2 linked regions of the Oryzias latipes genome follow. The protein of the gene in region 2 interacts with the protein of the main gene of each other region in a pairwise test. Links are inferred from orthologs where the notes say so. Each region holds a gene or a part of one and is shown on either strand. Other genes may lie near its edges.

Evidence for each region.
Region 1: the proteins of rtn1 (region 2) and ugcg interact in a two-hybrid assay, tested with the Homo sapiens proteins (2 studies listed by BioGRID and IntAct). The link is inferred for Oryzias latipes from reciprocal best matches to the Homo sapiens genes RTN1 and UGCG.

The regions. Positions count from the first base shown.
Region 1 is NC_019870.2:273,350-281,226, reverse strand, and holds the start of ugcg (ceramide glucosyltransferase), read left to right. Parts: upstream 1-2,844; 5' UTR 2,845-3,352; coding exon 3,353-3,450; intron 3,451-3,878; coding exon 3,879-4,023; intron 4,024-7,877. Other genes in the region: mocs2 (molybdopterin synthase catalytic subunit), read left to right, coding at 1,438-1,546, 1,731-1,887, 1,951-2,074, 2,149-2,250. UniProt on the Homo sapiens protein: Participates in the initial step of the glucosylceramide-based glycosphingolipid/GSL synthetic pathway at the cytosolic surface of the Golgi.
Region 2 is NC_019880.2:12,165,403-12,173,271, reverse strand, and holds the start of rtn1 (reticulon-1), read right to left. Parts: upstream 5,408-7,869; 5' UTR 5,393-5,407; coding exon 4,843-5,392; intron 1-4,842. Other genes in the region: leucine-rich repeat-containing protein 9, read left to right, coding at 5,644-5,755, 6,048-6,106, 7,127-7,345, 7,624-7,764. UniProt on the Homo sapiens protein: Inhibits amyloid precursor protein processing, probably by blocking BACE1 activity.

The DNA.
Region 1 (7,877 bases), on a different chromosome or scaffold from region 2:
TCTCTTGCAATTTCGAGTTTCTCTATCCCCCATGGAAAAAAGAGCGACACCAACTGTCAATCACTGTGTTCTTCTCCCGAACAAACACAGCTGCGCCGCGGGCTTCAAAGGGAGAAAACACTGCAGAGCGGAGTCAGGATCAGCGGCTCTAGAGCAGTGAAATACACCTGAGTCACTATTTGTCTGACCTTACTTTGTATTTTTTTTTAAATCATTTTAAATTTTCTCCCGTTTAATCCAATTACTCTCGGGTCGCGGTGGGCGGGGCTAATCTCCGCGATTTGAAGCCTGATTAGTTATTATTTGACAGTACAGTACAGAAGATATTTGTTGAAAAACCTTTTCTAAAGTACTTTTATTTGTGAAACAAATGCCTGAGCCTGTAAAACGGTTTGTTCTTTCTTTTCAATGTATAATAGACTGTTTAATAGTATAATAATTGTTAAAAAAATAAAGGTTTCTACTTCACGGATTTTGCCTTTCACGGGTTCTTTTTGGAACGTAACCCCCGCGAAAAACAAGGGTTTACTGTAAAGCGAGTTCAGAAAGGAAACACAGGCAGAAGTCAGGATCCTGACAAGGTCACTATTGGAAAGAAAACCCGCAAAAAGACGACCAAGGTCCAAACCCAAACTAAAATCCAGAACCAGCAGGAGGCTGAGGACCAAGAGAGACGAGCCACCCAGCACCGCTCCAACTCTGACCCTCCTGCTCCTCGGCCAGCAGGTACCAATCAGGAACATTGGCCCCTCCTTCCAGGTGAGCAGAAGGACGGGGTGTGAAAAAGGTGCATGCCAGCAGCAAGATGAACACAGCCAATAGGCAAACAGATGATGACATCAGTGAGGATGAGGCGGATGAAAAGCAGGAAGCGTTCCCGTAAAACATCACCACGCGTGTTTCTAGACCCGAATGTTTTCCCGTCACGTTCCACGCTGCAGTCCACGCAGCCTCACGTGTGGCACTGAGCTCATACAGGTGTTTGTGTGCAGGTGAGCGTCATCTACTTTGGTCAGAGTGCCGAGCTGACTGGGCTGAAGGGGGAGGAGCTTGTTTCTGTTCCAACGCCCATCAGCAGCAGGGAACTGTGGGAGCTGCTGCAGCAGAGACATCCCCGGTACGAAACCCAGGAAGCAGCAGAACCTGACGGCGGCTGATCGGATTCTGACCGCTGCATGTGTGTGCGTGTGTGTGTGTGTGTGTGTGTGTGTGTGCGTGTGTGTAGGCTAGCAGTGCTGCGTGGTCACGTGGTCTTGGCGGTGGCTCAACAGTACATTCCCATTGCGGAGCAGCTGGTGGTTCTGAGGGACGGAGACGAGGTGGCCGTGGTTCCTCCGCTCAGCGGCGGGTAGGCAGGTATGTGCTTCAGTCAGTCGCTGCTCTCCATCCCAGCAGAGGAGACGGGTTCTCAGACGTTCTACCGGGTCGGTTGCAGGAATGTCCCAGCAGGAGGACGCGGTCAGGCTGAGCCGGGATCCTCTGTCCGTGCAGGAGGTGGTGGATGCTGTGAGCAGCTCCTCCTGTGGAGCCGTTTCCGTCTTCGTCGGTACGGATGGACGGGACTTTTAGCCGTGTTGGGTAGCGACTCCCTGGACGGGGGGGACGGGAGTGTTTGTGTTCCACTTCTATTTTGAGTGCTAAAGTGAGGAACAGCGGTGCGGGCCGTTACAGCGTGTTGGTGGGTCCGGTTCGGTTCCTCAGAACTCAGGAGTTTCACATCATCTGTGCAGGAACGACCCGGGAGGACGAGGTGGAGGGCAGGAGGGTGGTGGGACTGCACTACGAGGCGTACGAGTCCATGGTCCAATCAGAGTTCACCAAGCTCTGTGCTGAGCTGCGGGGGTGCTGGCCCAGCGTGAAGCACATCTGCGTCCACCACCGGCTGGGGTGAGCGCTCCGCCACTCCTCTGACCGGCAAACGCCAGACTTACCTGACAGGTTCCTCTTTAGGTGGGTGAAGGTGGGCGAGGCCAGCGTCGCCATGGCAGTTTCATCTCCGCACCGCCACGACGGCCAGCAGGCCATCCAGCACTGCATCAGCCAGCTGAAGGCCCGGATGCCCATATGGAAGAAGGTAGGAGCCGGCGGCGGTGGGACGGCCGAGCCGGTGGGACGGCCGAGCCCTCACCCCCTACCTGTGCTCCACAGGAGGTCTACAACACCCAGGAGGAGAGCTGGAAGGAGAACCTGGAGTGTCCGTGGTCCAGCACCGCCCAGCTGCTGACGGATGGATGTGACAAAGAAAACTGAAGCTTGTGATCCAACTGAAGGGGGCGCCAGTTAGCTGCTACCCGCAGAGCAACTGACTTCATTTAATCATTTGTTTTTCTTCCTGAAATAATCTGTTGTAATTGTTGAAGCGTCACCGTGTTCTCAGTCTGCAGGACGTCCTGCTTCCTGAAGGAACTCAGATTGTCCATGACGACCGCGGTCTCTGGTTCCTGATCCAGTTCAGTTTCGGTTGCTCAACCCCAGCAGGTGTTATGACACACACTGACAGGTGTGGCTGTTTACCACGAAGTCTGACGCACCTGAGCAAAGCAACCAGTTTCCACCGTTGTCACGTGACTCAACACAGCTGCACCTTCAGCAGCGGGAACTTCCCTGTTCTGAGCGACAATCGGCTCATCCAAATGATCAGAACTGGATCCACAGTAAATAAAGGGTATTTTCAGCTTTGTTTTTGATTTGTTTTTCGAGGCCAAACTTTATTCAATTTAATCATGTTTGAAAATTTGGGGATTTTCAGCTTAATGGAGGAAGTCACAGAGAAGAACTTTCAGAGCAGATGAGCAGTTTGAGGTGGAAGCACATCAGGATTATCTGGGTTCTGAAGGAGCAGAATGAAGACAAGGAGGCTGAATCCATGTAGACTTACAGTTACTCAATAAAAGCACGAAGAAAACATGTAGCAGTGAAGGAAGCAGTTAGATTCCTGGGGTTCTTTGCACTAAAGCTCATCCTAAACACCTTTGTACTAACGTTTAGAGGCACTAAGGCCGCCTGGTTTCATTTATCTTAGGCTGTTGGGAGGGGCTTTTATTTTGAAAGAGTCCGGAAGTGCCAGCCAGTGATGACTTCCTGTTTGATCACCGTCTTTCCCGGTTGGTCAGCTGATCGTGGGCCGGTCTGCTGACTGTCAAACGCCCGACCTCATCGCCGCTAAACCGCGCTCCCCCAGGCCGTCTGTGGCCCCCAGAGTTCCCGCTGCCGGAGCTCGAGGTCCAACCTACTTCCGGTACCGGCCCCGCCGGATTTCTGGCTCTTTCGTGACGGACTCTACAGAACCCCCCGGTGTCCTGCCCGACCACACACGGAGCCCGAACGAGCTGTGGCGGCCGTCCGCTGCGCCATGGCCCCGCTGGAGCTGGCCATGCAGGGCCTCGCCGTGTTCGGCCTCGTGCTCTTCCTCGTGCTCTGGCTCATGCACCTGATGTCCATCATTTACGTGTGAGTGCGCGCGCGCCGCCGCTTGAAGCTGTTCGCCCGCGGGGGGCCGAGCCGCTGATGCCCGCGCCTCTCTGGCTGAGTGCCCGGTCGGTGGGTTACCGCTAACCGGTGCACGTTAGCTCAACGGGAAGGGGCTAACTGACGTAAAGCTGACTGTTCGCGCGTACGTTAGTGCGGCTTAAGCTAGCAGCGGCTTCCCGGCTAACGCAGCGGCCGCGGCGGCCTTCCGCTCCAGAGACGTTTCTGTTCATTGATATTCAGGGAAGCTGTTGGTTCCGTCTGTCTGACTGCGCGCGCACGCGGGCGGAACTACCGGTCCCGGCTGCTCTTTCTGCGCGGGGGTGGAGGCAGCAGAGCCTTGTCCGAAGAACCGGGTTTTCACATAGACAGTGACCTGTTCTGATCCGGGTTCCTGGCCTCTGTTTCAGACGCCTACACCTTCACAAGAAGAGGTCAGAGGTCAAACAGCCGTTTGCTCAGCTGGCAGGAGTTTCTCTGCTGAAGCCTCTGAAGGGGGTCGACCCGAACCTGATCTCCAACCTGGAGACCTTCTTCACTCTGGATTACCCAAAGGTGAGAGAAACCCCGCGACAGTGGTACATCCCCCATGACAGACATGACCATCATCAGAGTCAGCACCCCCGTCCTCGGCTAACACAGGTGTGTGTGGGGGTGTGTCAGACAGGTGGGAGGTCCACCTCGGCTAACACAGGTGTGTGTGTGGGGGTGTGTCAGACAGGTGGGAGGTCCTCCTCGGCTAACACAGGTGTGTGTGGGGGCGTGTCAGACAGGTGGGAGGTCCTCCTCGGCTAACACAGGTGTGTGTGGGGGCGTCTCAGACAGGTGGGAGGTCCTCCTCGGCTAACACAGGTGTGTGTGGGGGCGTGTCAGACAGGTGGGAGGTCCTCCTCGGCTAACACAGGTGTGTGTGGGGGCGTCTCAGACAGGTGGGAGGTTGTCCTCGGTTAAAACAGGTGTGTGTGGGGGAGTGTCAGACAGGTGGGAGGTTGGGCTCGTCTAACACAGTTGTGTGTGGGGGCGTGTCAGACAGGTGGGAGGTTGTCCTCGGCTAACACAGGTGTGTGTGGGGGCGTCTCAGACAGGTGGGAGGTCCTCCTCGGCTAACACAGGTGTGTGTGGGGGTGTGTCAGACAGGTGGGAGGTTGTCCTCGGCTAACACAGGTGTGTGTGGGGGCGTCTCAGACAGGTGGGAGGTCCTCCTCGGCTAACACAAGTGTGTGTGGGGGCGTCTCAGACAGGTGGGAGGTCCTCCTCGGCTAACACAGGTGTGTGTGGGGGCGTCTCAGACAGGTGGGAGGTCCTCCTCGGCTAACACAGGTGTGTGTGGGGGTGTGTCAGACAGGTGGGAGGTCCACCTCGGCTAACACAGGTGTGTGTGTTGGGGTGTGTCAGACAGGTGGGAGGTCCACCTCGGCTAACACAGGTGTGTGTGGGGGCGTCTCAGACAGGTGGGAGGTCCTCCTCGGCTAACACAGGTGTGTTTGGGGGCGTCTCAGACAGGTGGGAGGTCCTCCTCAGCTAACACAGGTGTGTGTGGGGGCGTGTCAGACAGGTGGGAGGTTGTCCTCGGCTAACACAGGTGTGTGTGGGGGCGTCTCAGACAGGTGGGAGGTCCTCCTCGGCTAACACAGGTGTGTGTGGGGGTGTGTCAGACAGGTGGGAGGTCCACCTCGGCTAACACAGGTGTGTGTGGGGGTGTGTCAGACAGGTGGGAGGTCCACCTCGGCTAACACAGGTGTGTGTGGGGGCGTCTCAGACAGGTGGGAGATCCTCCTCGGCTAATACAGGTGTGTGTGGGGGCGTGTCAGACAGGTGGGAGGTCCTCCTCGGCTAACACAGGTGTGTGTGGGGGCGTCTCAGACAAGTGGGAGGTACTCCTCAGCTAACACAGGTATGTGTGGGGGCGTGTCAGACAGGTGGGAGGTCCTCCTCGGCTAACACAGGTGTGTGTGGGGGTGTGTCAGACAGGTGGGAGGTCCACCTCGGCTAACACAGGTGTGTGTGTGGGGGCGTGTCAGACAGGTGGGAGGTCCTCCTCGGCTAACACAGGTGTGTGTGGGGGCGTGTCAGACAGGTGGGAGGTCCTCCTCGGCTAACACAGGTGTGTGTGGGGGCGTCTCAGACAGGTGGGAGGTCCTCCTCGGCTAACACAGGTGTGTGTGGGGGCGTGTCAGACAGGTGGGAGGTCCTCCTCGGCTAACACAGGTGTGTGTGGGGGCGTGTCAGACAGGTGGGAGGTCCTCCTCGGCTAACACAGGTGTGTGTGGGGGCGTCTCAGACAGGTGGGAGGTTGTCCTCGGTTAAAACAGGTGTGTGTGGGGGAGTGTCAGACAGGTGGGAGGTCGTCCTCGGCTAACACAGGTGTGTGTGGGGGCGTCTCAGACAGGTGGGAGGTTGTCCTCGGCTAACACAGGTGTGTGTGGGGGTGTGTCAGACAGGTGGGAGGTTGTCCTCGGCTAACACAGGTGTGTGTGGGGGCGTCTCAGACAGGTGGGAGGTCCTCCTCGGCTAACACAGGTGTGTGTGGGGGCGTCTCAGACAGGTGGGAGGTCCTCCTCGGCTAACACAGGTGTGTGTGGGGGCGTCTCAGACAGGTGGGAGGTCCTCCTCGGCTAACACAGGTGTGTGTGGGGGTGTGTCAGACAGGTGGGAGGTCCACCTCGGCTAACACAGGTGTGTGTGTTGGGGTGTGTCAGACAGGTGGGAGGTCCACCTCGGCTAACACAGGTGTGTGTGGGGGCGTCTCAGACAGGTGGGAGGTCCTCCTCGGCTAACACAGGTGTGTTTGGGGGCGTCTCAGACAGGTGGGAGGTCCTCCTCAGCTAACACAGGTGTGTGTGGGGGCGTGTCAGACAGGTGGGAGGTTGTCCTCGGCTAACACAGGTGTGTGTGGGGGCGTCTCAGACAGGTGGGAGGTCCTCCTCGGCTAACACAGGTGTGTGTGGGGGTGTGTCAGACAGGTGGGAGGTCCACCTCGGCTAACACAGGTGTGTGTGGGGGTGTGTCAGACAGGTGGGAGGTCCACCTCGGCTAACACAGGTGTGTGTGGGGGCGTCTCAGACAGGTGGGAGATCCTCCTCGGCTAATACAGGTGTGTGTGGGGGCGTGTCAGACAGGTGGGAGGTCCTCCTCGGCTAACACAGGTGTGTGTGGGGGCGTCTCAGACAAGTGGGAGGTACTCCTCAGCTAACACAGGTATGTGTGGGGGCGTGTCAGACAGGTGGGAGGTCCTCCTCGGCTAACACAGGTGTGTGTGGGGGTGTGTCAGACAGGTGGGAGGTCCACCTCGGCTAACACAGGTGTGTGTGTGGGGGCGTGTCAGACAGGTGGGAGGTCCTCCTCGGCTAACACAGGTGTGTGTGGGGGCGTCTCAGACAGGTGGGAGGTCCTCCTCGGCTAACACAGGTGTGTGTGGGGGCGTGTCAGACAGGTGGGAGGTCCTCCTCGGCTAACACAGGTGTGTGTGGGGGCGTGTCAGACAGGTGGGAGGTCCTCCTCGGCTAACACAGGTGTGTGTGGGGGCGTCTCAGACAGGTGGGAGGTTGTCCTCGGTTAAAACAGGTGTGTGTGGGGGAGTGTCAGACAGGTGGGAGGTCGTCCTCGGCTAACACAGGTGTGTGTGGGGGCGTCTCAGACAGGTGGGAGGTTGTCCTCGGCTAACACAGGTGTGTGTGGGGGTGTGTCAGACAGGTGGGAGGTTGTCCTCGGCTAACACAGGTGTGTGTGGGGGCGTCTCAGACAGGTGGGAGGTCCTCCTCGGCTAACACAGGTCTGTGTGGGGGCGTCTCAGACAGGTGGGAGGTCCTCCTCGGCTAACACAGGTGTGTGTGGGGGCGTCTCAGACAGGTGGGAGGTCCTCCTCGGCTAACACAGGTGTGTGTGGGGGTGTGTCAGACAGGTGGGAGGTCCACCTCGGCTAACACAGGTGTGTGTGTGGGGGTGTGTCAGACAGGTGGGAGGTCCACCTCGGCTAACACAGGTGTGTGTGGGGGCGTCTCAGACAGGTGGGAGGTCCTCCTCGGTTAACACAGGTGTGTTTGGGGGCGTCTCAGACAGGTGGGAGGTCCTCCTCAGCTAACACAGGTGTGTGTGGGGGCGTGTCAGACAGGTGGGAGGTCGTCCTCGGCTAACACAGGTGTGTGTGGGGGCGTCTCAGACAGGTGGGAGGTCCTCCTCGGCTAACACAGGTATGTGTGGGGGCGTGTCAGACAGGTGGGAGGTCCTCCTCGGCTAACACAGGTGTGTGTGGGGGTGTGTCAGACAGGTGGGAGGTCCACCTCGGCTAACACAGGTGTGTGTGTGGGGGTGTGTCAGACAGGTGGGAGGTCCTCCTCGGCTAACACAGGTGTGTGTGGGGGCGTGTCAGACAGGTGGGAGGTCCTCCTCGGCTAACACAGGTGTGTGTG
Region 2 (7,869 bases):
TTTAACACAAATTCTCCTCCTCTTCTTCCTCCAGAGCAGCGGTTTGTGTTATAAATAGCCCAAACCCAGTTGCTGGGCTGGCTGATGGGGATGGAGGGGTTAAGCTCTGGAGGATGTAAACTGACTGACAGAAGGTTCTACAGGTCAGGACGTCCCTCCCCGGATTTCGCTTCCTCAAATGAGACCCACCACCCTTCCCGCCTGTTGTCCTTTCAGTTGCTGCTTCCTCAGTCACTACACAATGCATCATTCATCACATACTGCAGGGCGGGGGTACAAACATCTCAAGGATATAGGTTGAGTGGTGATGTAACATTTAAAAAAAGCAGGAATTGTCAGGACCTTTTATGTTTTTTGTTTTTTTTACATATTCTGTGTGTTATGTAGGTTAAAACAGATTAGCCCCACATCTAAACTAAAGGTAAACTGCTGCTGAACCTGACAAAAGCTCAAGGCATCAAAGGCTCTGCAACAAAAAAGAACCTAAGTTTTTCTCGGTGACAGCAAGCTCTCTGCTGCGTTTTGACGAAATGGTCGGCGATTGAGGGCATTTTGAATCTGCTGACGTGACATAGCGCCCAGACGCTACAAAAGCCCACAAAGCTGAAACCAATGCTCCACTGTAGTCAGATGGGATTGGGCATGACAACAGAGGAATTCTAGGCTTCACTATCCACACAGTGTGTTCATCCTGCTGAAAGGATGGGGCAGTTAGATAAATAAGTCCTGGTGCATGTGCTGTAGAGTCCTTTTGTTGTCCTCTGTGCAGCCAGAGCAGCTCTGAAACTAATGCCGGCTGACACTTTGCACTGGGCCGAGGCATGGGCTCCTAATTATCAGGCGACTGAGGAAAACAAAAGAGCAGAAAATATAAAGGAGGGCCTCTAGTCACAAAAGAAAAACATAAATGACCTGCTGTTTGTTAGTGATTAATAAAGAGAAGAAAAACTACATATTTTTTAAAGTCCCACTCTGATCATCTTTTGATTAAAAGCATTCCAAGTGGTCTTTTAATTATGATAATGTCGTTTTTTTTAGCCTAAATTAAAAAAAAAACTTGTGTTGTTTTCTAAGACATAGTTTCTGCAGAGCAGTAGTAGATCATTAGAAATTCTGAGTTGTGAGAGCTTTCTGTTTATATGTTCTCCCACCCCAACCTAACAAAACTGGTGCAATAAAAAATGATGAGCCATCTTAGAGATATCCAGTCGTACTGTTTTGAGCTAGATGTCAGCTCAGACAAGGAATACAAAGACGTAGATGGATCTATTTGTCTGCAAGTGGATGCATCAGAATGGAGTGGAGCAGGAAGTTTACGGCCTACCTAGTGTATTTTCTAGGAAACAAATAAGCAATTTTTCAAATAGCATTTTCTTGAAGCCTAATTTTTTACAAATAGGTCCTCCATCATGTGAGAAATGCCAGAAGAACATGTTAAAAACACCATTAATTTTCATCTGAGTTGATCTTTAAGTCTTTTTCAGTGACACAGTTCTCTAAAAACATGTATTTTCCCTTCTAATGAGCTCAGTTTGAAGTCTGAAGACTGTTTACGGCTAATAACAATCAGTCATAGTCCAGCATTTCCTTGAAGAGTCTGTGACTCAACAGCTCGGAAACAACTCCATTACTCCATCTAGGTTCCTATCAGCTGCGGTTTTATCTTTCAGGTGTTATCTTTCAAAGCCTGACCTCGTGGAAACCAATATATCAAGATGCTCACTGCGCTCCCCTTTTAAAGCTAAGTGGGTTTGTGGTGGTAAATAATATGTTTTTCCCCCAATGTTAGAAGTCCTAATTTAACATGACATTGTTAAATAGTTTGGGTCTCTTTTTGCAGCATCTGACCTCAAGGATCTGTTTCTTTAGTTGAAAAATAAAATTATATAGAAAACTATCACTTTAAATACATTTTATATAATTTGTAAAGAGTTTATTTTTAGGTACTCGTGTGACTCTCTAAAACTATTGATTTTTTTTTACATTGATCAGTATTTTCTCTATCATTTCAGCTCAGCTTAATTAATATCTGTCGTATGTCACAACATTTAAAAACTTGTTTATGACATTGATTCTGTTAATCCATAGATTCCTGTGTTGAACTTAAAGGAAAACAGGGAAATGGGGGAGATAGTGGGCAAGGCTGCTTTCACTGAAGTAGAAAAAGACAAGTGCAGGTCGATAGAATTGCTGAGAGATCCAGGTGCTCTGCTGCATTGATCCAAGACAACTGGAACGTACAATTACTATTCCATGACACACTATTGCATCCAGCCCTCTTAACTGGGGGAATTAAATTGGGAAAAATACGCTACCGAACATATTCTGCTAATTCTCTCCTGTATTGAATATATTTTTCTTGCCTTTGTGGTTTTTTTTAACATAAACAGAGGAGAATTTTAAATATGTCAGTCAATCTTTGTTTTTTAAATAGTAATTACCATTATTTAGATGTGAGACTTTAAAAAATGACTGATTGCAGAGAAAAATGTACAAAAAGTCCACACTTAAAAGTAGTGATGGGTTTTAGCTCTGCTCTTCATGGGGAATATGATAAGTCAGAGCAGAGGGGCAGTTCCAAACACTGCATCATGTTTCACATAATGGTTTTTTATTGCTTCCTGGGTAAACACATGGGATTCTATCGCTTCTCCGTAGCTGCTTCATCCAGTTTTGATGGGTGTTGCGGGGTCTGGAGCCCATCCCATCTGTCACAGGGTGTAGGCTTTATCCTTGGACAGGCTTCCAGTCTGTCCCAAAGCCATAGACATAAACAGGAGGGAGAACCTCTCATACTCCTGTCTAGAATCAGTTTAACTATGTCCTTGTTCTACTGGGGTCAGAAATAAATGCATCTATGGATATAAAAGCACCTCCACTCAACAACTTTAAATAAATACTGAAGTTTGATGTTTTTTTAGGTTTTCCTGACAGTCTGGACCTTTGAACCATCATCTGGCAGCAGCTTCGCCTCTTTAGCCATTAGGCTGCTCTCTCCTCCTCTTCTGCCCCTGAATTATCCAGCATTTTTATCATCTATGAAAAGACCCTGCACTCCTCTGTCCCTCCGGGAACAGAGGCAAAACTCCTCACCAGCTAAAGGCAGAAATGCACTGCACTGGGATCAAATCCAGCGTGCTGTCTCTCCCTCGTCACTGATGACAAGCTGATAAAGCGAAAGACTTGAGCTTAATCCACCTTTTAGCTACTGGATTGTAAGAGATGGCTTCTCCAGATGTAAAATAGAAACTAAAAGGAAGATGTTTCTGTGTGAAATCCTCTCCTCTATGAGCAGCAAAATTACATGCAATTTACATACAAAACAGTTGATGCTTTCAAGGCCGAGCAGACCTGATCCCGGTACACCATGATCTACTGTCTTCATCATGGCTCCGGTAAACATACACGTGAGGGTAAATCGTGAATATTAAAAAGGTTGTTCAGCCTAAGAAACAGGATAAAGTTCTGTCCAGTGGTAATTTAATACCTCTGGAGTCAGCATCCTGTAGGTCCTGAGTTTGTTTATCACCGTTGTAAACAACAGTAAACTCCAAACATCTCAAAGGGACACAGCTCAGCATTTCATTAGCTTTACGCAGGATTTTGGAACTTCAGTGCAGTGTTGGAGCCAATCTGTGTCTTTCTGAGGAAAATCAAAGCAAACAGCATCACATTATTTCTGATTAAGTGAGAAACGTCCCCTCTGTCCTCATAGATGGGATTTGCGGCGTTTCCAGCGGGAACAAACGTGACAGGAGAGATTAATTCAACTGTGCGGACACGGCTTAGCAACAGTATTGCAGCAACACTGTTCTCTTTCAGGAGCCAAAACAAAGAGTGTGTCCCCCGTCTGTGAGCACCTACACACCTTGTCTGGCAGACTGTTATGAAAGTGGAGCAAATGCTTTGTTTACATTTTCAAGCAAGAAAAGTGGAAAAGACAAAGGTTAAATATTAAAGGATATTCCTATCCTATAATTTAATCTTAACAAAAGCTTTTATTAACTAATCTGTTTACACCTGACTGTTGAGGTTTCATTCCCTGATAGGAATAGTCCACTTCCTGAAAAAGAATCTGCATAAAAAGCGTGTTTTTTTTATTGATTTGATTCAAGCAGCATGCCAAATGAGAGAGCGCTTGAGCAGTTAAGAGAGGAAACTTGGCCGCATGATTTTTTTTTAAGCATAACCTTATGAATTTTTCAGTGAACTTGTGAATAAAAGTGGCTCACTTCTGCCCAACACACGAATAGTGAGGCAAGCGACCTTAGGAGTAAAAATAGCAGCATGAGCCAAGCTGTTCTTCAAAGGGGAAGGACTTTAAGCACAAATTTGAAGCCATTAGAGTTTCTTAGACCTTTTGAATTAAGGCTGTTTTTATTTAGTCCTTCTGACCTTATTTTAAGTAGCATTTTTGGTCAAATTGGTGAGTTAGATCTCATTGGCCAACAACATTTTGACTATTATCCAACAATCATCAACTAATTGAGACCTACCCAGACAGGTGCTTCTTTTATTGTATTTATAACAGAAAACTGGCCTTAACATCATAAATCACATATAGTCCTTTCAGATTTATCAGCATGTGAACACACATGTAGATCAAATCAGAACCTGAAAGTTGCAAAAAAAAATAGCATCTTTGTTTTCAATTCCAGAAGTTTTAACTCCTCATAACAGCAGACAAGCAGGCCGTCTGTCGTAATCTATAATAAACTGCGCCTCAGCATCAGTCGCCCCCATTTTAAGACATAAAATCACTCCTTGTGTTTGCTTTTGCCCATGAGTATTATTAGGTTTGGCAGAAAAGTAAGATTTGTCTCATTTACGTTAAAGTTTTACCTGTAGAGGCAGTTTCCATAGCAACGGGAGGCCTTTTCCCGTCGTCCTGGAAAGGATGAAATTGTTGATCCAGGTCGCCCACAGCGTCACCACCTCTCGGCTTCAAATCGTGACGCAGCTCGTCGAAGCGGGTGGATGTGTTCCCAAACAAGCCGTTCCTCTCGTAATCATCCCCGAACCACCTCTCCTCCTCGCGGAGCTCCTCGCCGGGCTGAGCGGACATGCTTTGTTGCTGTTGTCGGACAGACTGGGAACAGTCAGCGGCTGCTGAGGCTTCCTCTCCTCCTCCCCCCGTCTGACCGTACTGCAGAGCCGGCGGCGACGCTCGAGCTCGAACGGGTGATCCGGGAAAACACGGGGACGCTCCCGCCTGGCTTCTGCTCAGCTGTGCCGGGGCTGTGAGGACGGCAGGGATGAGGCGGAGCGGGCGGTTTGGAACCAGCACCAGAGGAGAGAGGTTGATGTTGTAGTTCACCGAGCCACCGCTGACGTCATCCTGTCCGCTAGACAGCAACGCAACTTTAGGACAAATACACACCCTAGTTTTCATTAAAATAAGGAAAACCAAATAAAACGATCAATTTATATAATATCAAACTATGTTTAACAAAATATGTTTAAGGCAATTACAGAAGCAGAATTTAGGGAATAAATCACATATAATATTACTATTTTTTCAGTCTGAATAGCACTTAAAAAAATGAAAAACTTTATTTATTTTCTGCCTTTTGTACTAAAGAATATTCTGGAGATCCAAATGTCTTGTGTCTCCATGAAAACAGTCCAGACAAATCTTGCAGTATGGCGCCCTCGTGTGGTAGCTCAGCGTACAAACAAAGCTTGAAAAGTTTCGGAGTTCCTCCATGGCAACCAAACACTCGTGCCTGGATACGCGTTCTTCCCATCGATATTGGTAACCAATTGTGTTTCAATCATACATTAATAAACGATAACAAAAATGCATTTTACGTTTTAATATATAATATGTGCAGTGCAGAGAGTCTGTAGAACTGATGCTCAGTCCTTAAACTTGGTCGGTTTCTGTTTGTTTGGTGTGCATGTTTGGGGGGAGGGGCAAATATAAACGTTTACTCAAAATTGGTTTTTAACATTTAAATTGACGGGCACGTGTTAGTTTTGTATTGTTTTCAGCAGAACCGACCAGTAATGCTTAATTTGTTGTTTTTGTTTATTTTTTTGCACAGCTATGTTGAAAAGTGACAAAAAGACGAACTGCAGGGATGAAGAGGTGGTCAAAAAACTAGTAAGTTAACACTAAGAAAAACATGTGATACCATGCAGAAGTTTTTGATTTTGTAGTCAAGAAATGTTTGCAACATAAATTGCAAGTAAAAAGAAAACAATGTACAGTAAATGTAAAGGAAATTCCACTCTCCCTCTGGAATTATTCTGGAGGCTCTCTCTCTCTCAGCATTTATTTATTTGTTTGTTTGTTTGTTTGTTTGTTTGTTTGTAGCCAATTAACCATGGAGAACTACCAAAAATTATTACTTGTAGTTTTAAAGTTAATTTGACTTTTTGTTTACTCATTTTGGGTAGCAGCGATTAACAGCGGCCAAAAAATAAAATGTAAAGATGAAAAAATATTTGATGAAAACAAAAAAAAATTTAAGACATTGTAAAAAAAAGAAAGAAAATTGCCTATGGGTTTGTAGGGTTAATTAAATATGTGTTTTTTTATTGTGTTTACTTTGCTTTACTTTAATTTGTGTTTACTTTACGATCTTTTAATGCATTTAAATCTATTTTATATCATTATCTTGTAATGTTCTTTGTAAATTCATTGTAACAAATAGATAACTTTAAATATTTACTCTCCATGCAAGTGCAAAAATGCTCATTGCTAGACTATTATATCAATATGAATTGCCCCTAATTTTCTGCCTATATAGAATATTACTGCTGGCTTCTGTGATTGTTACATGAAATAGGAAATGAGTGAATAGTGTTTTTTTTATTCAAAAATAAATTACGTTTTTTTTTAGAAAATTCATTATGAACATGTTTAAAATATATCATTTCTGCTTTTGCATTTTTATGAATTTCTTTAATATATATGAATAAATGCTGCAGTCTAAATACACATTGTCAGAAAAACGGAGAAAAAAAAAAGACTCCCAAAAAACTGAATGTGGAAGCAAAAAGGTTTTAGGTTTGCTTTTATTTGACTGTATTTCAACCCCCCTTTTTAAATTTATTTATTTATTTATGATGCATAAATATCAAGATCATGAATCATTGTTCATCTTTTTGCTCACAACAGTGTCTGGTCAATGGCGTTTCCTATGAAAAAATAGCACAGGAGGGGAGTAACGTCACGTCTCTGGAGATCTTTTTCTCTGGTTTCCCCCGAATGGTCGGGCTCTTCTTCTTTCCAAGACTTTGCCACCTTACCATCGTGGACCAGACCATAGAACACATTGAAGGACTGGAGAACTGCCCTCTGCTACAGCAGATCTGGATAGTCCAGTGTCGTCTTAGAGTGAGTTTTCATACAGTACAGACCAAAAGTTTGGTTTTGCACCTTGAGAAGGTGTGTCCAAACTTTTGGTCTGTACTGTATATGTTTGTGTAAAAATGTCAGACATAACAACTTTTAATTTATGAGATTATAATATAGTTTATGTTCAAGTATGTATGTGAGATTAAACACTGCAGCAATAAGGATTAAAACAAATAATAACGTTTCAAACCCAGAGACGAAGAGTTTAACCTTTTTGTTTTTAACATATAATTGTTTTCTCATTGTCTTATCAACAGGAAATATCTGGACTACAAAACTGTCAAAAACTAGAGAAGCTGTACCTTTATAATAATCAGATATGTGAAATACAAAACTTAGATTTGCAGGTTAACCTGGAAGTTCTGTGGCTCAACAATAACTGCATCACTAAAATCCAGGTATGAAACTGGCATTACATTTTTTCATGTCAGTCTCATAGAATTATATGTTTTTGTTAGATTGATGATGCAATAACATATTTTGTTTGAATTTTTTTCTGAAAC